Linked DNA regions of Alligator mississippiensis. The protein of the gene in region 1 interacts with the protein of each later gene in a biochemical or structural test. Links are inferred from orthologs where the notes say so. Each region holds a gene or a part of one and is shown on either strand. Other genes may lie near its edges. The genes, in order: MAGI2 and ADRB1.

The links.
Region 2: the proteins of MAGI2 (region 1) and ADRB1 interact in a test that uses a peptide from one of them, tested with the Homo sapiens proteins (4 studies listed by IntAct, with this or other methods). The link is inferred for Alligator mississippiensis from reciprocal best matches to the Homo sapiens genes MAGI2 and ADRB1.

The regions. Positions count from the first base shown.
Region 1 is NC_081827.1:22,066,359-22,081,893, forward strand, and holds the start of MAGI2 (membrane-associated guanylate kinase, WW and PDZ domain-containing protein 2), read left to right. Parts: upstream 1-7,754; 5' UTR 7,755-7,973; coding exon 7,974-8,277; intron 8,278-15,535. UniProt on the Homo sapiens protein: Seems to act as a scaffold molecule at synaptic junctions by assembling neurotransmitter receptors and cell adhesion proteins. Plays a role in nerve growth factor (NGF)-induced recruitment of RAPGEF2 to late endosomes and neurite outgrowth.
Region 2 is NC_081829.1:92,296,944-92,312,186, forward strand, and holds ADRB1 (beta-1 adrenergic receptor), read right to left. Parts: upstream 8,044-15,243; 5' UTR 7,928-8,043; coding exon 6,632-7,927; 3' UTR 4,893-6,631; downstream 1-4,892. UniProt on the Homo sapiens protein: Beta-adrenergic receptors mediate the catecholamine-induced activation of adenylate cyclase through the action of G proteins. This receptor binds epinephrine and norepinephrine with approximately equal affinity.

The DNA.
Region 1 (15,535 bases):
GATCTCCTGAGTCCTAGGGCCAGATTTAAATAGGTTCAGTAGATGCTTATATAGTAGGTTCCTTAACCTTGTTATGGAGATGAGCGTTTCTGAAGTATCTGGGGGTATACCAAGTCAGGACAGTTTGCTGCACAGGAGTCATGAGCTGCTCTGATCAGAGAAATGGCACCCTTTGAAGGAAAAACTGCAGCAAACAACTGAATGGCTTGTTTTTAATTCTGCATGTCACTGAAAATTAAGTGGCTTGTGAACCACCAAGATGAAAATGATCCAAGTTCTTTTGTACTTGGATGTCTTGCCCAGGTGGGCAGCTCAATTTAACTGTGAGGCATATGCAGCCAGGGGAAGCACCGCTATAAAGCAATTCAGGCCTAGGTGCATAGGTTCCCTACACAGAGAGCAGACAGGGGTAGGTGTCTCCATAAGGGAATTCAGGAGGCATCTTGAGGAAAAATTCAGGACAAAGGTGTAACTGAACTCCAGCCCCTCTCAGGAGTTTAGGCTTCTGACTCATGCTGCAAACTGGGCACCTCATTTCACTTGCACTTCACAATACCTAGTCCCACTATTGAGGATAGGCTCATCCTGGTGGTGGTGATGCCCACTTTGTCCAAGGCCCTTATGATTGGAGCCCTCGTGCAGGAATTGGGAGACCTCGTTTCTCAATGCACCTAAGCTCCATTGAGCAGGACAGTGCCACAACCACCGTGCTGAAGAAGGGTGTAGGTGAGGGCTGCCTCCATTCTCCTGGGCAGCCTGGAGTGCAAGTATAAAGGGGCCAGAAGAAGAGTGAACAAGAGCTTCATGGTTATAGCACTATCTGGGAAAAGAAGCCCTGGGTTCCAGCCCCTGTTGTCAGGGTTACTCCTTCTTGCCAATTAATGTCTTTTGAAAGTGTAATGCAGGCAGGAGATGCCAGAACACAGGGCCCCCCACTCCCAGGCAGTTGCACTTATCAGTGGGCTACAGAGGCATGATCACTAAGCCTTACCCCTGGCGCTACTTGTTCTCATTTAGGTGCAGAAGAGACCAAACTGAATCTGACTACAAGTCCAATGTCTTATCACACATCTATCCTTCTTTACAACATAATGGGATTTCACTGCTACGTACCTAAGTGTTGCTTGATAGTATTCCTTCCTTTTGCAGGGAGAATACATCTTCCAATACAGAAGCATTTTGCCAATTAGATTAATCCAGAAGCCTAATAATATAGCAACGTTTGGCAGCACGTGGGGATGGAAAAAAATATCTATCAAAAGATTTAGATCCCCCCAAAAGGTTGACCTTTGGTTCCCTTTTATGAAATCCATGATGGGACAGGAGGAATGAAATAATTTGCCAGGTGTCAAGCCCATTTTTAATTACTAAAGCTCCAGTCCTATGATCCCTTACTTATGGGCTTATTATACATATACATTTTTGTAATTGCAGGCTCAGACTCTTGCTGATGATAAATTGCAACTGTGTTTTGCTTGCTAAATATGCTTCCTTCTGTGTTTGTATTTGTTTCTTGCATTTGTATGAAAGCCTATATGAAAAGCAGTCTTGCTGTACTACAGGACGTGGTCATACCATCCTCTGGGAAAACCCAATGGAATGGTTTAATAGGAAAATCTCTTTGAGTTTCTCTCTGCTGACTTCTCCTCAATCTTGTGGGGTTTGGAGCAGAGCCTGGTAACCTTTTACATGTCATAAGCTGGAACAACCCAGCTCTGGTCCAATGCAGGCTGGGTGGCTTTAACTCGCATCATTATCAGAGGTCTTTCCCAGCACTCATATCAGAGCCAGGCAGCTGGGAGCTGTGTCAGCATTCATAGATTCATAGATGTTAGGGTTGGAAGGGACCTCAATAGATCATCGAGTCTGACCCCCTGCATAAGCAGGAAAGAGTGCTGGGTCTAGATGACCCCAGCTAGATACTTATCTAACCTCCTCTTGAAGACCCCTAGGGTAGGGGAGAGCACCACCTCCCTTGGGAGCCCGTTCCAGACCTTGGCCACGCTAACTGTGAAGAAGTTCTTCCTAATGTCCAATCTAAATCTGCTCTCTGCTAGCTTGTGGCCATTGTTTCTTGTAACCCCCGGGGGCGCCTTGGTGAATAAAACCTCACCAATTCCCTTCTGTGCCCCCGTGATGAACTTATAGGCAGCCACAAGGTCGCCTCTCAACCTTCTCTTGCGGAGGCTGAAAAGGTCCAGGTTCTCTAGTCTCTCCTCATGGGGCTTGGTCTGCAGGCCCTTAACCATACAAGTGGCCCTTCTCTGGACCCTCTCCAGGTTATCCGAATCCCTCTTGAAGTGCGGTGCCCAGAATTGCACGTAGTACTCCAACTGCGGTCTGACTAGCGCCCAATAGAAGGGAAGTATCACCTCCTTGGACCTATTCGTCATGCATCTGCTGATGCATGATAAAGTGCCATTGGCTTTTCTGATGGTTTCGTCACACTGACGACTCATGTTCATCTTGGAGACCACTAGGACTCCAAGATGCTTCTCCCAGCTCCCTGCTCCTTGGCTGCAGGCACAGGAGCAGGTTCTAGTCAGTGGGGAGTTTCACTGGGACCAGGCATCTGCAAACGGTGTCCACTGCTTCTCCGCACTCCCCCTATTCCTCCACTTTGTAGTAGTGCAGGCACAGCTGAAAGATGCCCAGCCCCAGCGCAGTTCCCCACCAGCTTGAAGATGCACCCATGACACAGCTGTGGCAGGAAGGGGGAAGTGGCAGCAATGCAGATGAAGTTTGCAGCTGCCCAGCTGTGACATAGCTCCATACTGGCTGGAAGCTGTCCCTAAACTGCAGCTGAGGGAAGTGGCAGCAGTGCAGAAGCAGCTCCCACCTGCCTGGCCCCAGTGCGGGCACAGGCAAAGCCCCCTCCCACTAACATGCTGCTGCTGAAACCCCCTGGCCCGCTTCAGACCAGAGCTGGGAGGGCAGGGAGAAGTGGCAGTGGCATGGGCATAGCTGGAAGCTGGCCAGCCCTGGGGTAGGCACAGGTGTGGCCACAAGCAAAGCCGTCTAGTTTCTCAGGCTGGATCCAGCAGCTCCATGGGCCATAATCAGTCGGTGGGCCTTACGTTGCCAACCCCTGCGATAGAGAGACAAAACTGGCTGCGCATCTCTGGATTTATCCTTACTTTCCTGCTCCCTGGCAGAGCAACTCCTTCTTATGTAGTTGTGCAGAGTAAGGCTATGATACCAGGGGTAACCCATCACGAACCTACTCGTAGAGACCAATTCTCCAGAGAGATCCCCCTGCTATAGAAGAATAATACTCTCCTGTTTGGATTATAACACATGCACTTCCACCATGATCTTAACATGTTCAGCTGGTGGTATGATGTGAATTCCACTTGACATTATCCATTCTTTCAAATCTATGTACAGCCTGTTTCTTCCTGCTATACAGATTGGTAAAGAGCCTTTGTGTCAAGACACTACTGTGGAGATTACTGGACCCCCTTTCCTATAACCAATGCTTACTCTGCAGGGATAAAGAACTGAGTAATACAATGTGGGCTGAACAATACATTGCTCCCCCACAACGGGAAAGGTATTGTAACCTACGTCCAACCCCACTCTGGACACTACTTGCTTAGCAACTATCCATCTGTCAGAAGTTAGACTATAGTCATCTACGGCACTGTACCTGTTACAAATGAACTTCTCATGCAGATTCATTTTGCTGCTGATATGTTTTAAAATAGAAACACTTTAAACTACAGACTCTCTTAAGTAGGATTTTGTACCACGGGATATTTAGCATAATAGTTTCCTATGATTAATGTCAGCCTAATTTTAACTAGTACTGGAAACCTTGAATAATACTGATAAACAGGGCTAAATTAAAGCAATTGAGGGCCTTACGGACTTGGAAAATAAAATGAGGCTCCCTTTCTCATCTCGTAGAAGTGTTTCTAATGGTCAATAAGAGGCTATTTTTCCAGGAACAATTCTTTTAATGAACTGTAGCCCTGGAATCTTTCAGTTGTATGTCTTCCAGTGACAATTATGTTATTTATAAGTTAATTCTTAATTATCAGAAGCTGAAGACTATCAGAAGATTTTTGTAGGGCAGATGACTCAACAAGGTGTGTGTAAAAGAGGGTGACATAAAGAATGACATAGTCTTACTTGTTCTCAGCCCCTCCACCTCCTTTCCCTTCCTTACAACTTTCATGCCAAGGTAGGAAACAAAATACAGGGATGGGGCAGGAAAAAGAAAACCTATTTATCTCCTGTCCCTTTTACTGCCTTTTCTCAGTGCTAGCCTGTTTTATGGCCTGAATTTCACAGGATATGAATACCTGAAACTCCCACTGAAGTCTATTGGAAAGCAGGCTATTGCTGTATTTTCTGCCCTATTTGTGAAAATCTCTCAGCTTTTAGTGCTCTTTTAATCAGGCAGACTCCAAATCCAATGTCATTATCTTCTCTGTGGGTTTCTATTCCAGTTTTCTATGCTTCCATTTTATCTTTGTACTTGGCCTTACTTTGCTCCCAATCCTGCATAATGCTCCTTGGAAGCAAACCTCTGCACCCACATGGAGTCCCATTAAAATCAGGATGGCTTCGTCTGCAGGAAACAACTTAGAGTCAGAGCTTTGTCTTTGCTTGTCATTCTGGGCTTCCTTTTACTTCACATACTCCAACCTGTTGCTACAATGGAGTGGGACAAAAAAGGCAACAATGTTTTGTGAACAATTTCAATGAAAAATGTTTATTTTTCATTCATATTAAAAATATACATGTATATTATCAGTTCTAAGCAGTACATGAATTATTCTACACACCTGTTCTCCCCCTAATTTTCATTCATATATTCTGCACATAATCATGTCCCTGTAGATGCATTCCGAGATCCCCTCCCCGTTCCTTTGATAGGCTCGGCCGGCAGATAATCCTCCCTAAATGTTTTCCTGCTAATCTTTGGTAAGGCTCCCTCTCAGAGAAAACCCAGCTCTTCAGAAGCTGGAATTTTACTATAAGAGATTATAAACGGGAGGAATGGGCTTCTACATTTACATATGAGGAAATTCTGTTAGCTGTGGAGAAGGAGATATTGGAATAACCAAACTTAATTAGCTAGGGTTTGGTGCCAAAACAAACAGTTTTTTAATAGTTAGGGAGATCAGGATCAGACAGTGATGGGCAACTTGGGCCATCCAGAGAGTTGCTGGTGGGTGCCGAAAAACAGATAGGTGCTAGTGAATCTGGATTCATCAGCTGTTCATTTCCCTATTTTTCTCCTTGTTCTTCTCAATTCTCCTTGTTTAGTTCTCCTTGTTCTTCTCAAATTTGCAGCCCATCCCCTCATTCTCCTAATCACTCATGAGCCACCTTTACTCAGGTGAGAGGCAAGCATCAGATCCTCTGTGGTCACACTAACCAACCACTGAGCAGGTCATCAACCCAGGGCTCTATACATATTCACAATATTTCTCTTTGCATCCATTAATAGGGATCCAATGTTAATTAACAGTAATAGATGAATTCATAGTTGTCACGTTTTTTCTTACTTGCCTAGACCTAAACTTTCCTGTTTCGTAACTGCATCTACCAGTCCATTCATGGATCCCTCAGAGCATCCCATCCATTAGATCTGTATGGCTTCCGTTACAGAACTATTTGAGCAGCCCAGTCTTTAATACATCTATCCTCAGTGTGCAACTTTCTAGATGGATATTATCCCCATTTTACCAAGCACTAATGGTCTCTCTACTGTAACCTAAAAGTGACTGAAGTCCATGTCCACATATCTAAGATAGCTTGAAACCAGCTGGCTCTAGCACTAAAAATGCCGTAGCTATGACAGCATGGGATTCAGGGTAGGCTACAAAGCCCAGTCTGACAAAATGCCATGGTATAATCCTAACTAAATGCTACGGCTATATTGCTATTCATATCCTACCCAGCTAAAGTTAGCTCAGGTATGCCAGCACCCGCAGTAATTACACCTTGGATAGCAGCATCCCTGCATTCATGCAGAATCCCATGGATACAGGAGTCTGCCCGTGAGAAACACACCAGGACTGAGGCCTTTCATGTTCTGTATTATGACCTCCTGAGGTCCTTTCCAAACCTCCTTTTCTGTGACTCTAAGTGTGTAAGTAAGGAATCCCCACAGGGACTTTTTTTTTTTTTTTTTTTAATTTTCCATATACTAAGCCAATTTAGCCAAAATAAATTCCAAATCCAATCCAGACAAACTACCGGCAAATATCCTCCACCCCCATCTGGGGCTTCAGATGTTTCCAAACATTCAGCAGGCATCCTACTTGCAGGCCCAAGCGCAGAGGCTTGGGGTTCGGATGCTCCCAAGTTTTGTTTGCCCTCAGCTGTAAGGCCCCAGGGGCAAGCCAGGGAGGAGTCTCCCATTTCCATAAAGTGGGCTTAAAACCAAGACCTTCCCACTCCAGTAGCTAAGTGAGAGGTTTACTATACATTACCTTGGCCGGTACTATCCCTGTGCCAGGAGAGCGGTCTTCCCCGGTGCCGCTAGGAAGACTGCCTCTCATGGTGTTTCCCTTGCCAGGCAAGCGTAGACTACATTTGATCTGAGCCTTCAAGAATCCCCATGGGGACTTGCCCCAGGAATCCTGCAGCAAAGCAGGGAACTGACCCCAGGCCTCCACAATGACACCCCAACCCCTCGGGCCAGGCTCCCACTACCCCCATTCCCCCAGGGGCAGGCTGCTGAGAATAAGGACATGGGACTATATAGACCAGCAAGCCACAGGAGACAGGACTGCTGCAGGAGGCAGCTTCTCCACTGCCCCGTCCCCTTTTTGCCCTTGACTTTGGCTGCTGAGAGCCTGCCCTGGCCTCTGTCTTTCCTGCCCATGGGGTGGCGGGAGAGGAGTAAGAGCCTCAACCTTCTCACAGGCATTAATTCCATGAAGGAAGAGCGCACACACCAACTGCAGATGCTTCCTCCGCCTCACAAACAACGCGTGCCTCTGCAGGCTGGGGGGGCACAGTGACCGCCTGCAGGCATCGGTGGCAGGGGCATGTCATCGTCGGCAAGCTCCTGCAGGCATCCACAGTGCTGTCGGTGGCGGGGCAAGCGGGGCAAGCAGGGAGCTCCCACAGGCAGCCGTGGTGGTGTTGGCGGTGGGGTTGGGGGAGGACGAGCGCTGACCAGCAGTTGGCCACCAGCCACAGACACCATTAGCGGTGATCAGGGACTGCCCACAGATGACACCGGTGGTGTCTGGGGCAAGGGGCTGGGGGTGGCTTGTGGCACCAGCAGTGTTGGTGGCAGCCAGCGGCGATTGGGCACTGCCCACAGATACCACTGGCGGTGTCAGTGGCGAAGGGCTGGGGGTGGCTTGTGGCACCAGCAGCAGGGACCAGTGGCAATCAGGGACTGCCCACAGACGCGGGCGGCAGTGTTGACGCCTGGGGAGGGGGTGGCTTGGGGGTGTCCCGCCAAGCTCAGGGGGCGCACGTGTAGCCAGTGCCCATCAGCCCCACGAAGGCTTTTTAAACCCGAAAGCTTGCTAGGAAAAAACGTTTGCAAGTATTTTAATAAAAGAGCTCAGCTTCACGCCTGCCAGGGACACGACGGACTCGGCAGCGGCTCCCACCCCGCAGGCTTCGGTGCGCGGCGCAGGGGGTCGGGCGCGGCGCGGCGCGGCGCGGCGCGGGGCAGGGCCGGGTCCCCGGGGCGGGCGGGCGGGCCGGGCAGGGCGGCGCGGCTCCCCGCGGGGGGCGGCCCGGAGCCGCGGGGCAGCGGCGATGTGCGCCTCCCCTCCCCGCCCGGCGCTCCCCGCCTTCCCCGCGCCTCGCCAGCCAGCCAGCCTCCCTCTCCGTCTTCACTACCGGGTCAGGCTGCAGCGCAGCGCCCGGGCATCCCTCCTCCTGCTCCGGCTGCGCCCCGCGGCCATGGGCAGCCGCTGAGCCGAGCCCCGGCCGGCCGGGAGGGAGGCTGCAGCCCGCAGGGTCGCCCCTGCCCCGCGCCCCGCACTGCCATGTCCAAGGGCTTGAAGAAGAAAAGCCACTGGACCAGCCGCGTGCACGAGATCGTGCTGGGCAGGAGCCCCGAGGGGCAGCTGGGCTTCGAGCTGCGCGGCGGCGCCGAGAACGGGCAGTTCCCCTACCTGGGCGACGTGCGGCCGGGCCAGGTGGCCTACGAGGGCGGCGGCAGCCGCCTGGTGCCCGAGGAGCTGCTGCTGGAGGTCAACGAGACCCCCGTGGCCGGGCTCACGCTGCGGGACGTGCTGGCCGTCATCAAGCACTGCAAGGACCCGCTGCGCCTCAAGTGTGTCAAGCAAGGTACGCGGGGCCGACGCGGGGACAAACTTCGGCTCGCCCGGCTGAGGGAGGGATGGGGGAGAGGATGCAGGAGCCCCCCTGGGCTGCCGCCCCGCTCCGCGCACTCTCACACAGACTCTCACTCACGCGGGCGCACACACACACACACACACACCCACACTCACTCACAGGCACACACACACCACCCAGCAAGTTTAGAGAAAGCCCTGCGTGTTGAAGCAAGGCATGGCAGCATTTCCCAGCCACAACACTATAGTGTTCAGATGCCAGCAGACAAGGGGTAAATGTGATGTCTTTTATTTAGACCAACTCCAAGAGTTGGGAAAAGATGTGCGTATTGGGAGGGGGGTGGTGGTCCTGGGGTGTGCGGGTGTGGATGTAATGGACCCCCCCCCCCCCACACACACACACATCTTCATGTGAGAGGTGTCACAGGGAAGGCTCCTGCAGCTGGAGAAGCTCTTGTGGGCTGGCTTGAGGAGCAAAGATTTGATGCTGGCTCCAAACAGACCTCGCGGTCGTCCCCAGAGAAGCTATCTTCTCCCCGGACAAAGTGTGACCGTTCGGGAGTTTGTGCCTGTCATCTGAGGTCAAAGCCTAAGAAAGGTTCGGAGGAGAAGAAGTTTGTCCTGCCACATTGTGAAGTGTCTGAATGGTTGTCCAGAGACTGCTTCCTTTAACTGATGGCAGAACAGCGGCGATGCTTCCAGTGGCTGGCTAAATCCTGCTTGGAAAGGCAATGTGTGGGCATACCAGGCTCAGAAAATTTATGTCCTGGGACAAACACAGGTCCTGGGACAAATGTAATGTCTGGTCCTAGCCTCTGTATATTTTTAACATGGGGCATTTCAAATCTGTATTAATACTGTAGTGGAAAGATGCCTCGTACTATGTCAAAGGACATTTGTATTCTAACAGATATGCCTTTGGAGGCATTACTGAGAGCTCCAGTGGATGCCTAGAGATTTCTCCAATATACCCAGCCTTATCCTTCTAATCACTAGCTTATTTTTTTACAATGGTTTCCATGAAATCTTTGAGTTATGAAAAGCTATGCAGATCCCTGGGCTCACTAAAGTGGCTCCTAAAGGCAATGGAAAGACTCCTCATGTGAGTCAGGACCTACTAGTATCTTCAGTTACCTCTATGAACTCGTATCTCCAAACAGTTGACCTGCTCTGGGATTTGTTAATTGGTACGTTACATTAGCACATGGGTTAGCTGAAGAGTACAGCAAAGCAATAGGTCACGTCTTGATGGACAGAAGTACGGTGATGTAATATTTTATGCAGTCAGTGAAGATCAGAATGGGAAAAGAGCTGAATCACTTCTCCCTTGTTAAAGTGCATATGGTCAGCTCTGGGCACCTGAATGCTGGCAAACCTGCCACACTGTTTCAGCTGCTTAATGTGACTTGGGTTTATCTTGACTGGTTTGTAGTGATTTCAGGAAGGGGGGAGTATTTCTCAATGATGCTAAGGGTCAAAAAGATAATGGTGTAAGTAAACATGTTTTTGGTTTTTTTTTCCCCCTGACTGAAAATACTGTTGTCTCCTTCTTTACAGAATAGGAACAATTCTCTGTATTCATTTCAGTGTTCATTTGCTTTCAGTTAATGTTTCATAAGAGAATATGAAACAGTTTTCTGTTCTTAAAACTTTGTGGGGGGGGAGGGGGGGTTGAAATGGCCATAAGCAAGCTACTAGTTTGTGTGCCATTTATAACTGTCTCTCTCAATACATGAGCTGGGGACATTAGTCGGGGCTCCAGTTTCTTGGGATACAGAAGCTGAGTTCTGGGTTCTAGATCGATTGTGCTCATTGAGAGTTTCGCTGCAGTCTATCCATGTGCTACATTTAGGAGTGACTCCTATACACACAAGATGGATAACTTCATATGCTTTGAAGTTTCAACTGCCTACCCAGATCCCTGGTCTAAGAGTGACTTTCCAGTTGGAAATCTTTCTCCAAGGTCATTCCCTGTTCTATACCATCCTCTTTATCAGACAGTTCTGCCAAACGGAGTGACTTACAAGTTTTGGCCTCTTTACTAAAACGGTCCTTGTTGTCTATATTATACCATGCAATGCAATTTGGTTTAATATCAGTACTTCTTGGTTAAAGAGCATGAGCATTATATATTAAGATTGCTTTCAATTAAAAGATTACTTTTTCCAACAGTATTTTTCAACAGTATACTGAGAAAAAAAGATGGACAATAACATTCCTTATATATTTTTATAATTTTGTTCTCTTTTAATTATAAAACACTTTTAGTGTGCTGGAACAAGGTTAATGAGACCATTATCATAATTTCTGCATAATTTATCAATGGTAACTCTCTAAATTTTTCACTGCACACATTTAATTAAAATCGCATGACCTTGAATGGACCATGTGACTCTGGCTTCTCTTTCAGAGTAAGTGCTGTCTTAGAGTGAAATCAGAGTGAGGGATATGAGGGTAGAGCTTCCTATTTTTAATATAATACTTACGTGTCTTGGAGCATTTCTGTTGTTTGAAAGTTTTCATAATTCAGCAATCAAAATTCACTGTTGGATTACATCAATATGTGGCTAATTCAGTTTGACAAGAAGTAGCTTACCTTTTTTTCTTGAAATTACAGAAAGGCAGCAATACTGTACTGATTTACAGTGAATGACCTCTTCTTGCTATCCTGCTTTGAGCAGACAGTATCCTTCCATGAGTGGGGAGTAGGTGGAAGGGGCTGGACTAGATGATCTCCTACAGTCCCTTCCAGTCTTGCTTTTCTATGATTCTGTGTTGTGCTTACTGTGATACACCCAGTTCTGAAATATTTAAAAAGCCAAGCTTTTATCGCATTATGAGATTAAATACTTTTGGTCCAAAAAGACCAAAGATATTTTACTACTATACAAGCTGGGAATCAAGTGTTAACACAAAAGACATGGTCACATTCATTCACAGTCGCTACATATCATCAGCAGACCAGTCATGGGAAACCAGTGAGCAGTCATGGGATGTTATATTGAATAAAGAGGGGTGGTACTCAATTCGTAAGGATTGTAATGTACCTCATTACTGTCTGGGCTTGATATAGTAGAAATAACATAAGGAATACTTTAGTGTAATAGCTACCATCATGATTAATCCTATTAACAATCTGTACTGTAAGCATTTCTTGGAGGCTGCTTTTTGTGGAAGCCCCTCCCCCCATTATGACTTTGATAGAAGAACCACAGCAATTCCATTAAAAATATATTCAGTAAAATCCTGGCTTCACTTAAGTGAATGGCGAAACTCCCATTCATATCAGTAGGAAAAGAACAGGCTATGATAGGATTAATGTCCCATAGATTTTTTAGATAATTTTCTTTCAGAGGAAGGATTTTGAATTGTAACAGAACTATTAATTCAGTATATTGTAATTGTTCTGAATTACAAACTTCTAACAGCTGGGTCAACTGGATGTGGCTTTTGGCTGTGTACTCATGCTAAAGGCCACCCACAGTTTATCCACTTGTAAGTGGGTACCGGGCTATTTGGGCTGGGAAGTCAAAGGTAGCTGGATGTCATGCTGGGCACATCGTTTCCTTGTGTGCCATTGGCTACTGAAACTGCCTTTGCCATGCTAGTCCGACAGGTGACTCTTTGATGTTGATTCTAGAGTGACTGTCATGTGTGGAATAATCCTAGTATTTTACAAGAAAATAAGAAACGCTGCTTCTTGAACTTGACTGTTTATGTATATGAAGTGTGGCCTTGCTAATGAATTATTCCTAGGCACATAGATGCAATTTAAAATAACATATTTATTCGAATACAAGATGAGCCTCCCCTCCCCCGACCCTTGTCTTACATTTGCATACAAGGAAACTGCATTAAATGTATCGGTTATCCGTGAACTGCGTCTAAAAGCAGCATGTGCTCAGTAATGGAAACCAACTATGAAGTTGATTACATGCAGCCAACACTGAGCATGACTGTAAAGTACATGGCCCATATTGGGCAAACATGCTGAGGGAACCTACCACAGGGACTTATTTTGCAAAAATATGTATTTCTATATATATAAATAAATACACACACACACACAATGGGCATAAATACTGATTTAAAAAAATATCTGTTTAACCTGTTGTAATTACAACAGTAAAATGATTAATTGATACAGCAACCCCCCTCCAGTAGCTAGGCTCCATAGACCCCGGAGCAGCCATTTGCAGCCTCCTTGCTGCCTGCTGGGCTCCATGGTGGGTGGCAGGGGCCTGCCCAGAGCCCAGGTTGCTCATGACAGGCTCCTCCACAGAGCCTAGCTGTTGGTCTAGTCTCTTCTACCCTTCTCCTCGCTCCTCCCTTCCTCCCGCCTGCGCTGCCACCTTCCAGTTCCTGCTGGGGCACTATGTGGCTTTGCACCCTTCCCCATGCTAAACGATAACAATAGGCTATAACCAGTTATCACTGGGCTTATCAGTTAAACGATTAATTGGTTAAACCTGGGCTTTTATTAAATGAGTACATTCGGTGCTTAATACAGGCATGAATTTTTTTTGTCTTCCATTTTGCTCCTTAACTAACATATTGATAGTTAAAATACAGCTTAAAATCTAGTTGTAGTTCGGACTTAATCACCTGCATAAAGTTGAGTATGTGTTAAAGGGCATGTGGAGATGAAACAGGGGCCCTAAATTGAAGCAGTGGGTTTTAAAAAACACCGCTTCAACTTAGGGCTGATCAAACCCCCATGTCCTACATGCACCCTGCTGACTTACCTGCCTGTCCAGTGTGGAGGGGAGAGTGAGCTGCCAACAGGCAGAGTGGTCCCTGCGCTGTGGCGGGGATGGGAAGGGTTGGTGCTTCCCACGGTGGCAGCAGTGCTCCCCTGCCAGGTGGCACCTCCCTGCAGGCATCCAGCTTGGGATGTCCCAGGGGGCATCATAGCTGCAGAGGGAAACACCAGGCCGCCACGCAGCTCAGGCAGGCAGACAGGCTCCAGGGGGGGTGGGAAAGAAAAGATCAGACTCGCCACTTTTCTTGGGTGAAGCTGCTTTCCCGGGCTGCTGCCAGGCTGCCTGCAGGCCTTCCTGCAGAGCCGTGCAGCTGCATGGAGCCTGCTGCTTTGCTCCACGGCTGTAGGGCAGCAAACTAAAACTCCTCAAAGGAGTTTTAATTTGCTGTGCCCCAAGTCATTTAAGGCGCATTATGCCATCGAATTTCCTACAGCGGCTAGAATTAATGTGCAATATGACACCAAGGCATGCAACCACCAACAACATTAAAGCGGTGCAAAAGCATTTAGCACTCTTTAAAGTGTTGTGCACACATGCCTCTCATTTCATCTACACAGGGCCAAAGTGCTTTGCTTATGAGGGATGGACTTAAGTATGTTTTGAATACTTTCTAAATCATGGCTTTAGTTGTTAAAAGCTATTATATGTAATAGAAAAGGTCAGATTTTTTTATGTCTTTGTCTGCTGTATTAAGTGAGACCAAAGATCCACCTGGTTCATGCTAAACTTGAGTGTACCAGCCCCAGACCTGTGCTGGCTCTGCAAGACCCTCTTATTGGGGTTCTGGCTGCACTTTTCCCGACATCTTTTATTTTATGTGCACCCCATCCATGGCCCCACAAAGTTCCAGCTCATTCTCCTCTTGGCTGTGGTCAGGATATCTTATCTAACAGACCAGGAAGGAGGTGCTGGTAGGGGGGAACACGGGTGACTGTAGGACTGTCTTGTTTTTCCATGTCTGTGCATATCTCTGGACAGAGTTTCACTGGACAATATCCACAGTCTCCTTAGATATGTTTAAGGAGCAGTGTCTGCAAGCTGGAGTTCTCTGCTCCCTTGACATCATAGTTATTAACCTGCAACCTGCACTCCTGTTCTTGCTTCATCATCCTTTATACCAAGAATTTAATTGTTATACATTTAGTAACTTCTCTTTAACCACTAAGTGGGGGTTGTTCCTGGGGGACCTAGGCCCACTATCACCGTGTAACAAATAGACCTATCTCTAATACCAGGAAGTAGCAGATACTTTAGAGAAGGGATTTCAAACTCACCCAGGCCTGAGGCCAGATTGGAGCCATTGGGATCCTTGTGGGCTGGATTGAGCCTGAGGTATGGGGAAGCTTCTGTGGCCACCGCAGCAGTGGCGACTGGTAGCTGTGGCAAAGGATATAGCAAAGGTGGGTTCTGAGGTGGTGGCAGTGGGTCCAGAGGTAGCAGTGGGTCTGAGATCAGGGATCTGCTGGTGACAGGAGGCAGTAGCATAACTAGTTTGATTAAGCAGAGCACCAGTCTTGGGCACCTTCTTAGAGGGGGCTCCTGCATTGCACCCCTCTCCATCCCAGGAAGTGTTTCTATGGCAGGAATAGCCCCATGCTGCATAGCCATAGGAGCCAGGCAGGCACAGCCACTTTCCCAGTAATGTAACTGGGGGCAGGGGGGCAAGCAGAATTGCATCTCCCCCAGGAGAGGGAGTCTTTGTCATGGTAGTTGCAGCCCTGGACCCAGTAGCATATGTGGGCAGGGAGGGGGAGTGAACAGGGCATTGGGGGCAGCTTCCAGGAACCCACACTGGGGCTGGTGCAGCTGGTATGCAGTGAGTTTGTTCCCTAGAGGAATCAGCCCAAGTCCATCTTATTACTGCAGCGGCCTGAGTGCAGAGAGCAGGGGCAGGTAAAACTCTGCCCTCTTCCCTGCCACTGCTCTCTGGTGGTCTGCATACTTCCCTCCCCACAGCCTGCCCCAGCCACTGAAGGAGCTCACTATGCCTCTATGCGCAAGGGATCTGGCTTCAGCAGGAGTCCTGGGGTGCAAGGTGTCTGGGGGTCCAGCAGGGGCAGAGAGTTTGAGGGGAAGCCATGGTGGTGAGCCATGCCACTGCTGACCAGTGGGGCTGAAGGGTCTTGAATTCTGTGGCAGGTCATGATCTCCAACTTCCAGTGGCCTGGCAGGCTGGGTAGAGAGGTTTTGTGAGCTGGATCCAGCCTGCAGATCTTATTGTTTTCCGAGCCACGTTCCCTGCTTTAGAGGAAGAATAAAAAAAAAAAGGGCATGTGTGTAGAATCGTCTATACCTCATCAGATCCTCCCAGTTACCAGCAGGCATAGACGGCAGGGTAGAAATGCACCTGCCTGACTTCAGATTAACACGGCTAGCCACCTCTCTCTGCCCAGGGACAATAGCAGGGGCAGATTGGAGCCGAGGGGAGGGAGTGCACCCGCCTTTTATTTTTGCTCTGCCCAAAATTTAAAACAAGCTGCTTAGAAG
Region 2 (15,243 bases), on another chromosome or scaffold:
AGCTCCTCCAAGCCTGGACACTGCGCTCCTGGCCCCGGGTCACCGGTGCAACCCCATGCTCCTGCTTGCTGCCACTTCCCCCCGGCGCGGGGCCCAAGCTGAGTAGCTGCAGCATGGGACAAACTGGTGCTCAGTGCGGGAGAAAAGTGGCACCCCGCTCTCCCGCTGCTGGTGCTCCACAGTGCAGCTGCTCACAGCCCACGCGAGGCTGCCTATGCCTGCTCTCTGCTGGCAGCGGTGATGCGGTGGAGACACAGGACAGGTCCAGGTGGCTGCACCAGGAAGCGCTGGCCAAAGGGAGGTGGAGGGGCCACTTTTCTCCTGAGCTGAGCACTAGTTTGTTCCATGCCTCCACCACTCAGCCCAGATGGGTGAGCACGGGATCGGGGCTGCGTGCACTTGCCCCACCTGTACCATGGCGCTGGTGCGGGGGGATGGAGCAAGCGAGTGCACAGGAGCCAGTGACAGCCAGGCAGGAGTGCGGGGCCTGTGCTGGTGTCCCAGGGTCAGCACTGGTGAGGCCCAGAGCGGGGCGGCAGGAGTGCAGGGTCCCAGCGGGCAGGGGCTTTATGGAACCCGGCCAGCTCCCCCCTCTCCCTGCTGGCACAGCCCAGCCCAGCCCAGCTCCACAGACCCCTGCCAGCCCATGCCCTGTGCTCCTGCTGCCCTGTTCTGGGTCCTGCAGGTGCTGGCCCCAGGATACCACGCAGGCCCTGCGGGCCCACTTGCTTCCACTCCCTCCTGCTCCCGCGGTGGCTTTCCCAAATTTCCCACCTGCCTGTCACCCACTCTGGCACCATGTGGCTCCCAGTTGCATGGCCAGACCGTGGGGCTCAGCAGGAGCTGGCCTGGCACCAAGGACTGGGGCGATCCCTACGGTCCTAAAATGGCTCCCTGCCTGACTCCTTACCTAAAATTCCTGCTTTGGTGCAGGGAGGTGCGAACAGTCCCACAGTCCCAGACCAGAAGCCTCTGCTAGGCAGGGGCTTCTGGCTGGGGGGGCGGGACCAGGTGGGCCTTGCTGTTGCAGGAACCTGCTAGGGCTTCCCCTGGGTCCTATTGCCCCTGTCTCCTGTCATCTTTGACAGGAGCCAGGGGCAAATAGATATTAATTTTCTAAATTTTTTAGGGGTCCCACGGGCTGGATAGAATGGCCTGGCAGGCTGTATCTGGCCCGTGGGATGTATTTTGCCCACCCCTGGTTTAACCTGAACTGTGACTTTTTAGGAGTGGAACTGAAATAATGTGGAGTGTGTATCTGTCCATGGGAATTTACTTCATTCCAGTTGCTGATGTGACTGCAGAAACTATTTTTAGGTATAATCCTTCAAACAGAACATGTCTCCTCCTTTCTGATTAGTACAAAGCTGGCTGCTAGTCAAAGGATAATTATCTCCCAATACATCACCTAACACAGACCAACAAACAAAACATTCATTATTTTAGTTATACAACATTAACTGTTGTTTAGCAGTTAGCATTTTCCTTGACAGCTTTTAATGGGACTAATTGCTCCAGCTTCATTAGCAAAGGTCACTACTGGTGACAATGGATTTTTCTGAAGCCATTGTTTAGTAACTCTCATAAAAAGATTAGATTATAAGGGCCAAATTCTGGTTTCAGTAGCATTGCAAGAGTGCAACTAAAGACAGAATTTGGCTTGAAGTATGTCTGTACTGTTAGTTCATGGTTGCACAGTTTCCATTCCCGCAACTTGATGTATTACAGAGAGGAAGTACACCGGACCAGATAGGAAATTACAATAAATTAGGAAAGTGTGTATGACAAGGAAGGTTTGCAAAATAGACACTTAAAAAGTTATTAATAAAATTTCAATTTCAGATAAGGCCTGAAAAAAGACCCAAGATAAGGAAGTTGTTCTTATATTTGAAAACACTTACATGCCAGCCAAGAAACCGTTTGCAGAAGAAATAGTGCACTCTATCAAAAAACAAACTACCAGTTTTCTCAAATTCTTTGCGTACTGCATCAAGATCGGTTTGTCAGCATTTTAGGCTGAGTTTCCTATGCAAAATTTAATAGCAATCAATGCCAACAAATGTTTTTTGTTACCAGATCTACATGCAATTCATGAATCACAATTTGGGCATTTTAAAGGAATTTATTTGCCTAAAAATGAAGATATAGAGTGGTATTTTCAAGAATGTACCTAACTCCCATGGATGCCTGGGCACTCTGAAAATATCAGTAGGCACATCTCTGCATCTTTAGGCACCCAAATACCTTTACCAAATACACCTCTCTCTTAAGTTTTCTCCAGGTGGACACAAATTACAGGACGTGATTACCTTAGGCTTTCTACCTGGATAAAGCAGGTACATTTAGATCCATATGTTCAAACTACCTTATCTAATTTTATACTGTGAGACTTATATTTAGGCTCTATGGAGAAGTGATCCAACAAGTGTTGAAATTCCATTTAAGTTAATAGAGATTATAGTGGCTGAAAACCAAGCCCTTTCCTGTTAAGTGCTTAAAGGTTAAACACCGCAGCTGGACACATTGGCCCTAACAGATACGGCATGTATCCCGATAGCAGAGTTTCTGTTCTGCTTGTATTTCCTTTCCCTTCAGATCTTCGTTCTTCTCCGTTACTTTACCTTTCTGTGACAGTGTGTGTGCATGCGTGTATAGCTGCATGTCTACTATTTGTACTGCAGCTCCAATTGTTAATCCCTGTCTGGTTTTCCTCAAAAATATATTCATCAAGGAAGTTTTGACTCAATGCCTGCAGAGAATTTCAGCTGTCCTGTAACTCTTCTTAGAGTATACTTCTTCACTACTAAGAACAGTCTGTACTAAGAAAGAGATCCATAAGGCACTGCTAGCCAATAGTCTCTCCTTCTTTCCACACATGTATGCCATATGTCTTTTTTATCTGTAAGGTTATCATGCTACTGCTTTTTTTTATATTGCACTAAGTTAAACTGGTACTGGCCATTCACACTGCTGGATGGACTATCTTTATTGATTACTGAAGATTTAAATATGTAAACAGCCATCAATATCAAGACCATCCTATTTTTAAAAACCCAGTAAATATATCTATATATAGTCTTTCCATTGGGCCATTTCTGGCTGGCTAAAATGCAACAATAACTGATTAATTTATTCTTGCAGCTGATCCCCCTATAATCAATCAGCAAAGTAGTTTTTTTGGAACTCTACTGCCTTTAATCACACAACAGATGAACATGGTCCCATGCTGTTACTAACAAGAGTCATCTGAACAAGTTTTGGTCCTAAATGTGTCACTGAAGACTCCACTTTAACAAAACATTTCACATGCTTAAATTGGGTGTGTGAGTAGACCCACTGATTTCAATGGGACCATTCACATGCTTAATGTTTGCCTGTGACTTTCTACAAGGAAAGAGGAGCAAATAGTCACTCTACTCTTATCCATCATATGCACACTAAACACACTGCACATAAAATCAACATGGCTATCAGACAGCTGGACTGGACAAATTTTGCCCTTGGTTGTTACACTCTTGCAATTCAGCTGACTTTGCTGGAATTGCAGGGTGTAACTAAAGGCAGAATTAGATCCTGGCTTTTAAAAGTGCATGTCGTTAGAAGACTGATGGAACATGTTTCATTTGGCAACTGCCCTGGCTTCACCTTGGCATTTAGGAAGCCTATTTCACTTCTATTGGAGCAGAAATAATTAACTGTAGTTCAAACCCTAACCCCAGTGCAACCAATGGCAAAACAACCAGTGACTTCAAAGGACCTTTCAATTTGGTTATGTGTAAAAAATGTCTCTATGTTTTTATCCCTAAAATGTAATGTTAAAAACAGAATTAAAAAATCTTCAGCTTTTAAAAATGGAGTAAACTGTTTATTTAAGAGAGAGCTTGGCCTATTTCTTGCAGAACTGACTTTCAGAACTCTTCTCACTGGGACATGATTTCTAACTCAACTATATTGTTGAGTATAATAAAGCTAAAAATGGCTTCACTTTTATTCTGTGCATGACATCAAGGAGGTGTTTTACGATACCCAGCCGTCTGGCTTTTTGGTGCTTTATATGCCATGACAAGTTGCAGTCATGAAAAATTCTCTGAATCTATCATAATAAAACATACCTTCATGACAATAATGGGAGACAGTATTGTCACGGAGTTCTACATTCAGGATTTGCATTAAGGATTAGAGTCTGCCACCCATGCCCTCTCGGCACTTCATCATGGTTTGTTTGGAGTCCACGGGGGTACCTGTGTCAGCAGGGCACTGCACAGTGTGTGAGGGTAACAGGATCCAGCCCTAAAGGAATCTATAGCTAGGGAAAATATTGCTGCCGAGTGCCATATTGCTTTTCTCGCTATATAATTAGTTCTTTAATCTATAGATATGTGACTGGGGTTTTGTGCGGAACTGATACGCAGTGTGAAAAACACTTTACAGGGCCTGATCTTGCACCCATTAAAGTCAATGACAACTGCCTTTGGCTTTAATTGATATCAAGAAATGAAGGGATCAAATATGTAGTGCTATTTTCTGAAGACACTTTTTTCAGTAATGTAGAATGAAAGCCTGGCATATTTTTTCAAGGGATCACAAACTTCTTATTACATCTCCCGATACAGGGCATAATCTCCCTTTTACTGAAATCAGCGTAGATTCCCAATGATTTCGGTGGGAAAGAGCTGGCTTCGCTGAATATGGACTTCAAGCTCTGTCTGCATCCAGTGAAGTTATTTTAAGAGTATCATTGATTTCACCATGAGAGAGCCACTGCATAATCTATTAGCAACAGTTTTCAGTTTTCAAATCCAATACAAAACCATTTTATTCTATTTTTCAATAATAAATCCCCTGACTCCTGGTCTACTAATACAACAAAAAGATCAGGAGAGCCAACAGGCTAAAGAAAATGACTATGTTTATTATCAGGCTGGAAACACCTTGTCTTTGGCCATTAATTTTTGAGGGAAGTCGGCAGCCCTTAACGCAACAGAAAACACAACCTTATTTGGTCTAGAACACTTTTTTTTAAACAATATTTTGTCAGGGAAAGCCATTAGGTGGGAGAGTATTGGTAATTTGATCCATATTTTGAGAAAAACAAAACTCTGTTCTTTCCATTATAGCTGGGTACTGTTTCAGAACCTATAGAGACACGCTGTACATATATGCTTGTTTGTGCTGCAATGTTATTTATTGCACATAGACCAATTACTTACACAGTAGTAAATTGCACCAGAGTATAAATACCTTATAAAACACACACAGGAGGAAAATGGAAATGACACGCAAGTGCTAAAATAACAGCAGATTCACGTGGGCACTTGGACATAAAATATTAAAATAATAATAAAAGACCCTTAAGATATTTTAATTTATAATACGGATGCATTTACAGTACCTTGATAAAATAATATAAAAAGTCACTCTCTCAATAGAAATGTAACATATTAGACAAGAGCAGAAAGAATTTTTTTCAGGTTTGATGATATTTGAACCCCCGTTTTATTTTTAATTTTTTTTTGTGCAAGGAACATCTTCAATTAATTTTACGATTCTTAACACTGTGCAAAAATGGCTCTGTTGCCATTTTTTTTATGTGCAGTAAATTTTTTTTGTTGCCAGGATTTATTTATTTTTTTACTGTTCATCTTCAATTACAATGAACAAATTGCAGAAGGCTCACTGCCTCTTTTTAGAAAATAATAATATCAATACATAAATAAGCTGTTTAATATAAACATGTCTTTTTATTCCCCTGTACAATATGCACAGTTTGAGGTAGAAAGTTTCCCAGCCTGATTGGTATTGTCTGGCAAGAGAAGATAAGCATAAGAAGTCAACCGGTTGCTGATGCAGAAGATAAAAATCAGAAAAGCTCTGTTCAAAATACAAGTATATCAATATTCTTCATTAGTTAATTTTTTTCCCTTCATCTTTACTTTAAAAAACAGGGGAACGCAGCTACCTGAAGTTTAAAATAAAACTTGCCAGATGACAGACACACTTTTATAAAGGACTGTTAAGCCTGATTTGCAAAAAGTGCTGATCACCTGCAGTTCCCACTAACTTCAACAGGGCTGTGTGCAGGCAGCACTTGTTAAAATCAGACTGCTTTTTTACCTGTGTGTGAAACAAGAACTGCAGCCACCAAGAGTAGGGGCAGGGAGAGTTTATAGTCCTCAGCTTGAAAGCAAGGTTAAATACAGCGTGATCCTGGCTACAGTGAAGTCAGTGGCTAAACTCCCAATACTTCAGGATCGGGCTCTACTGCAAGTGCAGCTCTTAGAGCAGCTTAACTGAGTAAAGGATATTTTCTTATTCCCTTTCAAAATGCCTGTTGCCACCTAACTCCCTGTTAGAAAATTTAAAAAAAATGAGCTTGAGACAGCTTTCAATTTCCTTTGTTCAGTGGTCAGCGGCTTCCTCTAACATCAGATGAGGTATGTTGCATACAAGTTCACCTGCTTTTAGTCTTAAGTAAACACAGATTTTCTCCCCAGTGAGACAGAGATTGGTTTTGTTTGGTGTTTGTTTGCTTAACCAGACTCCTGATATTTTTTTCCTCTCACTTATTCCCTGGCTGGCTTTCTTCGTGCTCAGTGTCCAGGGTGTCCCCCAGTGCCACCTCCCACCGTCCTTATACCTTGGATTCCGAATAGGAGGTTTTGCTATTCCTCTCCTCCAGGCTGGAGTCGCTGCCTCCCTGCGTACCCCCATTGCAGTCGGACCACATCCCTCCTAGGCTGCGCTCGGGGGTGCCCAAAGTATTGATGAAACTCCCTGGGAACCGGGAGAGCTCCTCACCGCTGGCGTGCAGCCTCCTGTCGGCTTTCCTGGGGCAGCAAAGCAGCCTCTTGAAAGCCTTGCGGAAGTCAGGGCTGCGACAGTAGATGATGGGGTTGAAAGCAGAGTTGGCATATCCCAGCCAGTTGAAGAAGACAAAGAGCTGGTCTGGCACCAGGTCCCTGTTGAAGACGTTGACCACGTTGACCAGGAAGAAAGGAAGCCAGCACAGAGTGAAGATTCCCATGATGATACCCAAGGTCTTGAGGGCTTTCTGCTCCCTCATGGCCATGATCCGGGAGCTCTTCCTCTTGCTGGCCCTGCCGTTGCCCAGAATGGGCTGGTGGTGAGCGTGGCCCTGGGCAGGAGGCTGGTGGTGGTGGTTGTTGTGGAACCTACCCTCGCATCGGTCGATCTTCTTGATCTGCTCCTTGGCCTCTCTGTACACCCTGATGTAGACAAAGATCATGATGAGCAGAGGGATGTAGAAGGAGATGATGGAGGAGGCGATGGCGTAGGCCCTGTTGGTGACGAAGTCGCAGCAGCCGGGGTCCTGGTAGCAATCCAGAGCCTGGGGATCCTCATCCCGCCACCAGTGCATCATGATGGGCAGGAAGGAGACCAGAGCGGAGATGCCCCAGACGGTGCAGATGATGCCCTTGGCCCGACCCTTGGTCATGAGGCTCTGGTAGCGGAAGGGCCAGGTGATGGCCAGGTAGCGGTCGATGGCGATGACGCACAGGGTCTCGATGCTGGCCGTCACGCACAGCACGTCCAGCGAGGTCCAGCACTCGCACAGGAAGGAGCCCCAGACCCAGCGGCCCTGCACCACCTGCGTGGCCCCGAAGGGCACCACCAGCAAGCCCATCACCAGGTCGGCGCAGGCCAGCGAGGTGATGAACAGGTTGGTCAGCGTCTGCAGCCGCTGCGTGCGCCGGATGGCCGCGATCACCAGCACGTTGCCCGCCACGATCAGCAGCACCACCAGCACCATCAGCAGGCCCATGCCCGCCGTCCACTGCTGCGACAGCAGCTCGTGCCGGCCGCCGGGCGAGGACGGCGGCGGGGAGACGCTGCCGGGGGGCGCGGGCGGCGGCGAGCCGGACCTGTTGTGCGGCTGGCAGTCCGGGGGCAGCCAGCCATCGCCCATGCTGTCCGCTCAGGGCAGCCGCGCCGGGGGCATGAAGACCAGCCGGGGCGCCCGCCCTGCAGCAGCCGCAGCCGGAGCCGGAGCCGGAGCCGGAGCGGAGCGGCCGCCGCGGCCGGGCTGCAGCATGGTTGTGCGCTCCCGCGGCTCCCGCGCCGCGACACCCCCGCGCCGCGCGTCACTGCTCGGCGGCCAATGGGCGCGCGGCGCGGACACACCCCCGCGGCGCCCGCACGTGGGCGGCCCCCTGCCACCGCACCCGTCGTGGGGGGGGGGGATTGCGCGGGGCGCGGGGCGCGGGCGGTGTCTTGTCTGAGACCCGCCAGATTTGTGCAAATAAAATAAAATAAACTAAAATAAAAAAGTTCTTAATTGCAATGCTTCCGGCCACAAACGCCCTTCTTGGGGGTGAGGGAGCGGAGGGCCGGCGTCCTGGGGGCTCCCCGCTCGCTTGCCGAGGGCCCAGGGCAGCTGCTGGCATCACTGCCCCGAAACGCTGCGCCGGGTTCGCGCTCTTCTCCTCTGTAGGTCTTAGGCTGTGCGGACGTGAGCAGGTAAAGCCCGTTTTAGCGTTTAATTTCCGAGCCCGGAAAGCCCATTCTGGTGTTTAATGCCTGCTGGAAGAGCGCACACTTCCTCAGCCGGACAAAGGGTTTTTAAACCCGAAAGCTTGCTAAGAAATTGTTGTTCCAACTACTGAGTTGGTCTAATGGAAGGTAACTGGTTTTACCCGAAGAGCCTTGTCTGCCTGCTGGGTACCTTGAGGATGGAGACGCCTGTGACGTGGCCAGCCTTATTGGGCCAGAAAGTAACATTCTGTGCTAAAAACAGAGCGCCTTTCGTCTTCCTCGAAGAGTTGCATTTGTTTCCTTGCCGAGACGCAAGGAGGAGAAGGGAGGGAGAAGTTCTCCCGCCGGAGACAGATGTATCAAGGGGGCTTCAGGCCTGCCCCAGCCCTGCTGCTCGGCAGGGAGAAGTGACCAAGAGGCAGCAGGCGCCGCCGCTCTCACCGCAGCCCGCGGGGATGGGGCAGGGGATCTCGCTGCATGTGCTGGATTTAAAACCTTAGCACTGGAAGCCAGCAACAGTTGCCATGGCCTGTAGGCAATATTGACAACTGTGCAAGTGTACGCTGCCCGGTGGGGGATGGATCCGTGCTTCCCAAGCCCTGCGTATCTCCCCATCACAAGTCCTGTTTGTTCTGGCTTCCCCGGGGGTTCCAGATTCAGCCACTGTGTCATTCCTAAGGCTGGGAGTCAGAGGACTTGGCTTCTGTTGCTGGCTTTGCTTGGGACAAATCTTTCTGTGCCTGTTATCCCAGCCGTAATGTGCAGCTCAGAACTTTTACCCGCCCCGGCCAAACCCCATCGATAGCTACAGACGTTTGAGGTGCAACGTTATCATTTGTTAATAACCATAAAAAGTTTCCGTGTGCAGTAAATGTGTTGCTCCGGTGACAGCATAGCTGCATAAGAGACTGTACAAGGATTGCAGCCCTTTGCACAGCTACATCCACTGAAACGGCTTAAAACACATGGGCTTGACTCTTATTTACATGTGCAGCCCTTCACGCTGCTCTGTTATCAGGTGTGGCCTTAGATGGATGTAAGGCTTATTTACTCTTACTTTAAATTGCCTTTGTACTGGCAAAGAGAAATGAAAATGAGTTCTCTCCCCTTTACTTTTTAGTATCACAGGATTACATCCATGCCTGGGGCTTACATCAATACCCCATCTCATACTAGCTGGGAGCAATAAGAGGGAATCCTTTTTTCCCACATATATTTATTCTGCAAAGGCTGTGTCATTGTTCCGGTTTGACCTTACCATTCCCTGCCAGGTTCAGACTCGGTATACAAGGTTGCAACCCCGGAGTGAATTATGTGTTTATTTACATACTGTTTGTTTAACCCTGATTACAGGCTCCATCAGTTTGGACCTGCTGCTTAAACTATTCCCTAGTGAACTTTGCTTCATTACTTGATCTTTTCCAGTCTGAGCCAGTGGGATAGAACGATCGAGGCAAACAGAAGATGCGAGACACCCACTGTATGACCATCCCACAGCACACAAATGTCTGAAGTCATGCAGGAGCTTTCTCATCAGCGCCCACACTCTCGATGCCACACTCAGTAAGACACAACTACAGATGTGGAACGAGAGGCTGAAGAAAATAGCTGACAATGAAAAAATGTACACTCCAGCAGCTAAGTCCTTACCATCGGGGGCTGATGAACAGTGGCAAAGGTGGCGATGTCTCAACTGCCTACGTACCAGAGTCGCATGTTCCCAGGAACTAATGAAGAAGTGAGGCTATAACATTGGTTCGACCACCTGTAACTGTCACAGAGCTTCAGACTAGGCAATGCCTGCTGTAATGCCCACTGCTTGAAGGCACATGTGCAATGAAAGAGCTTGCAAAGTACAATAAACAAGCACAAGCATGTGTAAAAAAATGGTTAAATGTGATGTAGAGACATGAGAAGAAGAAGTCTGAGCCTAGAGAGCTCAGCCCTCCAATGCATGAAGTGACTCTCTTGGACAGGGAGAGGTGGATGCTCCTCACCTTGAAGAACTATGTGAACACTGCTAGGTGTGGATTGTGGCTGAACCAACTAAGGAAAGGGTCTGACGATATTTGTCAGGAGGTTGTCAGTCAATCCTCAGCTGTGATCCCCGCAGGAACAGGAATCCATCCTTTCTGTCAGTCCTGAGTCTCTACCAGAAGGAACCAACACAGAGCTAGATAAGAGTGGACTTCTACAGTGAACTACTATAAATGTGACTTGCAAAAGATTTTGTTATTAGACAATTTATCCTACAGCTAAGCCTTGGTTGCCCGCACAAGCCAGGACAGAGAGGTATTCAACATATCAGGTATATCATTTTAGGGGCTTCCTGAAGTCCTGCTGGCTGGATCTTCTCAAAAAATGGAGACATCTGAAGATCGTGGATAGTTTAGAAAATCCAACCTTTAGTGACTTGCCCAAGATCACACAGGCAGTTGTGAGGGGTACAAATCATGCCTTTGGACACTTTTCCTGCATTTCCATCCATCTGTCATCCCCAGGGTATTTTTACTGAATTAAGGTCTTTACCTAATAAAATTAACATGGGATTGTAACCCCTTGATTGTCTCTCTGTCTTTGAAGAAGCTTTGAAGTTTAAGGGCCAGAGAAGTTAAGTGAATTGCCCAAGGCTACATAATTAATCAGAAGGCCTAGAATAATTTTCCTGTCACAACAGGCGTAATTCTGCAACGTCATGTCAGAGCTGGAACCAGCCTGACTTTGGGGTTGTCTAAAAAGGAAGAACCAAAGGTTAGCTGAAGAATTTATCTGCTGAGCATCCCTGTGTGCATGCAGCTGATAACTGTAGGGTTAACTCATCTTCCAAACGACACCTCTGCAGATCACCTTTAACTCTAAGTTTCCTGATTTTTGTGCATTTGAATGTGGTTTTGCTAGCACCTCTTTGTGTGCAAATTATTTAAGGATGTCAGGTCAAGAGGAGTGAGTTCCAAAGTCTGAAATGGATTGTTTCTGCCTGTGCTCCAGGTCACATTTTTTATTGAAGCAGTAATCTATTTTTTCCTGGAAGTCATTGTTTTTTTTTAACAAGAAGCTTCAATACTAATTAGAATAGATTGGTTATCCAACACACCCACAGAGGATAACAGATGGACCCAGAAGGAATTCCAAATCGTACTGCACTGGAGAGGCTGAGTTGAAACAAACTTCAGAGCTGGAATGTGTCAGGGACTGCAAGGGCTTCTGTGTAGGGTTTTAGACCCAGATCCTTTGCGCTGCTCTATACAGAGTCCCACAGACTTCAAGGGGGCTTTGAGCAGGCACATGACTACCACACAGACAGCGGCTTGCAGCATCAGGGCTTTGTTGTGTACAGGTGTGTATCATAATGCTGACTGCTCAACAAGTAAAACAAATAGGAAGGCAGAACTGAGGGAGAAGAAGGGGCTGAAGTACGGGTGTGGTATTTGCATCGGCACAGAGAGAAGCAATGCTAAGGGAGTGCAAAAAGATGCTGAATATTAGATTCAAGTTCGCACTGCGTGAGTTTGCATGATACACACCATGGAGGTGGGCAGGAGCAGATCCTCTTTATTGGCTTGATCCTGAACCTATTAAAACCAGTAAAAGTTTTAGCTCAGTGATGGCAGGATTAGTCCTGACAATCTGTGGCTTTTAGTGGATTTACCTAAGAAAAGGCTTGGAGTGACTAGGTTGTGGGACTTTGAGTGACTTGCTGGGTGTTGTTGTCAGATTTCCCAGTGTATTAAGTAATGTGTTTCCAACCCAGCTGGCTGCAGGAGCTCTCTCTGGCTGCCCGTTGGTGCCGGGTTTCCAGCTCTCCCTCAGACCTCAGCACATTAATTGATTCGTTCTTTCCCCTGCTAAACAGCCTGTGAGGATGGTCTGGTAGGTCTAGCTTCTAAAGTTAATACCCTCAGCTAGTACCTATGTCAGTATGCACAGCTACCTAAGTGTCTTTTCAGTGGGAAGAGAGACAGATTGCCTTTTCATCTAGCCAGACCTCTGTTGTCCCTTCTCTGTTCCTGAATTTGTAGCCCTGCTTATCCAAACCAGTTCTCCAGATCATGCAGGATCCAGAACTGTCGGAGCCAATGGCTCTCCCAGAGTCCCATAACAGCCCTTAAGAATAACAGTGTCCTCCTTTCAAGGAGGGCTGAAATTCCCACCTGCCAGTCTTTCTCTAGCCATGAACAAAATTTCAGTACTTGTGGGTACAGCTGGTCAGAACATTTTGACATAATGAACTTTTGTCTAAACACATGGTTTTGTGGAAGCCGAACAAAGATTTTGCTGGGGAAGTTTTTTTTAGGGCTGTCCTGACATTTCTGAATGGCGGCAGAGAAAGAAAAAGAGAGTGAGAGACAAAGAGAAAAAAAAAGGAGAGAGAAAGAGACAGACAGACGGACCAAACTTAAAAAGATAGCTCAGGTTTTTATAGAAAAAAAAAGATTCTTCAGCAAAATTACTTTTGTGGACATATTCTAAAGGTTTAATTGTGAATCCTTTAAAGTTGTCACAGAATGAAATTATTATCTGCTGGACAGCTCTACCCCCAAGGAAATCACAAGACTTGGTAATGATGGACCTGATTCAAGTCTTCTCAGTGGCTGTGTCTACACAAGATGCTGGATGTACAGTTGCAGTATATAAACAAGTACTAAACGACTGTGTAGTAACCAGAGTTACTGTGCAGTCACACCAAGGAATGACTTTTTTGTGATGATGACTGTGCATCATGCTTCCTGCCACATGATGCTACTGCACAGTTAGTGTCTCGTGTAGACGCAGCCAGTTACACCAGGTTTCCAACAGTGTATCTCTATTGGTTTGTATAGATTTGCTCCTGGCTTCTCTGCTGCAAGTGAGCACAAAATCACGAGAAATATGTTTAGGTCTGTGCACTTCCCTATTGAAAAGATAATGATATATTAGATGAGGTTCAGAGAAGATCAATATCAACTATTAAAGGGAACTTGGGATTAATATATGAGAAGAGACAAGGAGACTATTTTAACTAAGCAATGACCTTGTAATTCCCTAATGTATAAATATGTGAAGCATAAAAAAAAAATACCAAGGAGTGGGTGGGAAAGGAATTATTTAGAATAGACGAATTATACCAAGAGACCTAATGAGAGATAATGTGATGAAAAGGAAAGTTCAGTATGATTATCAGAAACAGTTTCCTGAAGGTCAAATCTATTAGATTGCCAAGAAAGCAGTAGAATTCTCTTTGCTCAGACCAGGGGTCAGCAACCCCCGGCACGTGTGCTGAGTGCAGCACACAAGGCCATTTTGCTCGGCATGCCACCACCAGCCTGGGCTCTAGGCAGCTGCTGCCAGCCACAAAGCCCAGGATGCTCCCAGCAAGTGGCTGGGTGGCTGCAAGCCCTGCTGTGATTGGCAGCAGCTACCCAGAGCCTGGGCCGGCTGCATTTGGGAGGCTGCAAACATCTGCTCTGGGCTCCGGCATTAGCTCCACACCAGTGGCCCAGGAGCCCAGCTCCGCGTGCCCGTGCATCTGCCTCTGTCTGGTCCTGTGCATCTGTGTGTGCACACACGTGTCTGGTTCTGGATGTGTGTGTGCATGTGTCTGCTATGGGTGTGTTCTGGTTCTCTGTGTTTGTGCACATGGTTCTCTGCGTGCGTGTGTGTGTATCTGGTTCTCTGCTCTCCTTTCTCTCTCGCTCTCTCTCCTCTTTGCCTTATTTGTCTCTTTTTTCTCTCTCATTGCAACATGCTCAACAAAAAAGGAATACACAACAACAAAGGCAACATTTATGATTATTAAATATACTAATATGCGGTGCGTCCTGCCATGTACACCCCCCACCCTCATTTTGTTTTTCTGGCATGTCAGCACTCTGGTACCTTCCAAGGTAGACATCGTGGGGTTTTTTGCACTCTGGCCAAAAACATTGCCTACCCCTGGATTAGACCTTTATATTTAGGTTTGAGAAAACCCTAATAAATGCATATAAGCTCCAATGTCTGTAGGATGGACTACTTGAATATTTACCATCTCTTATATATATCATCCCATCTTGTCTCATCATCCCATCCCACCCCTTGGTAACTAGTAACTTAAATACCTTTCACTTTGTTCATTCTCCAGGAAAACTGACCACTGTGAGCTTTGTAAATGGATAAACAACTAATTTTAAAGTAGTGAGAATCACAAGAAAGTACACAGGAACAGTTTAAGCCAAGCCCACATGCTAATGTACAGTAGATTTGAGTAGAATGATTTCACTTCTCCACCTGGGGCTGTCTATGCCCCATGATGTCCTGCCTGAATAGCACAATCAAGGCTTTAGTAATTTTGTATTTTAACATATATATTTTGCACAGTGGACCCAATCATGCATTCACTGGGATCAGTAGTAAAACTCCAGCTGTTATCAGGAAGTCTAGGATGTCATTTTAGGCAGAGATTGTTTTTTCCTTTAGGGCCTGATCCTACACACAATGAATAATGGAAAGACTTCCTTCTATTTCAGTGACCTGGGCCTGTGGCCCATATTGTCTGTCTTACTACTCTGGAGGATACGATTTATGAAAGACAAACTAAACATGTCTGTTGTCACTTACTCTTCTTTTCTCTCCCTGTAAATCCCTTTGTAAACTCATCATGCATCTGATAAACTATTTCAAGTTGATTATCTAAACATTTTCACTAAAATCTGAGTAGAAGAAAAGCAAATCAGAAACAACCTGACAAGTCTTTATACAAAGCAATCAGACTTCACCCTCTCTGTTCTGTCC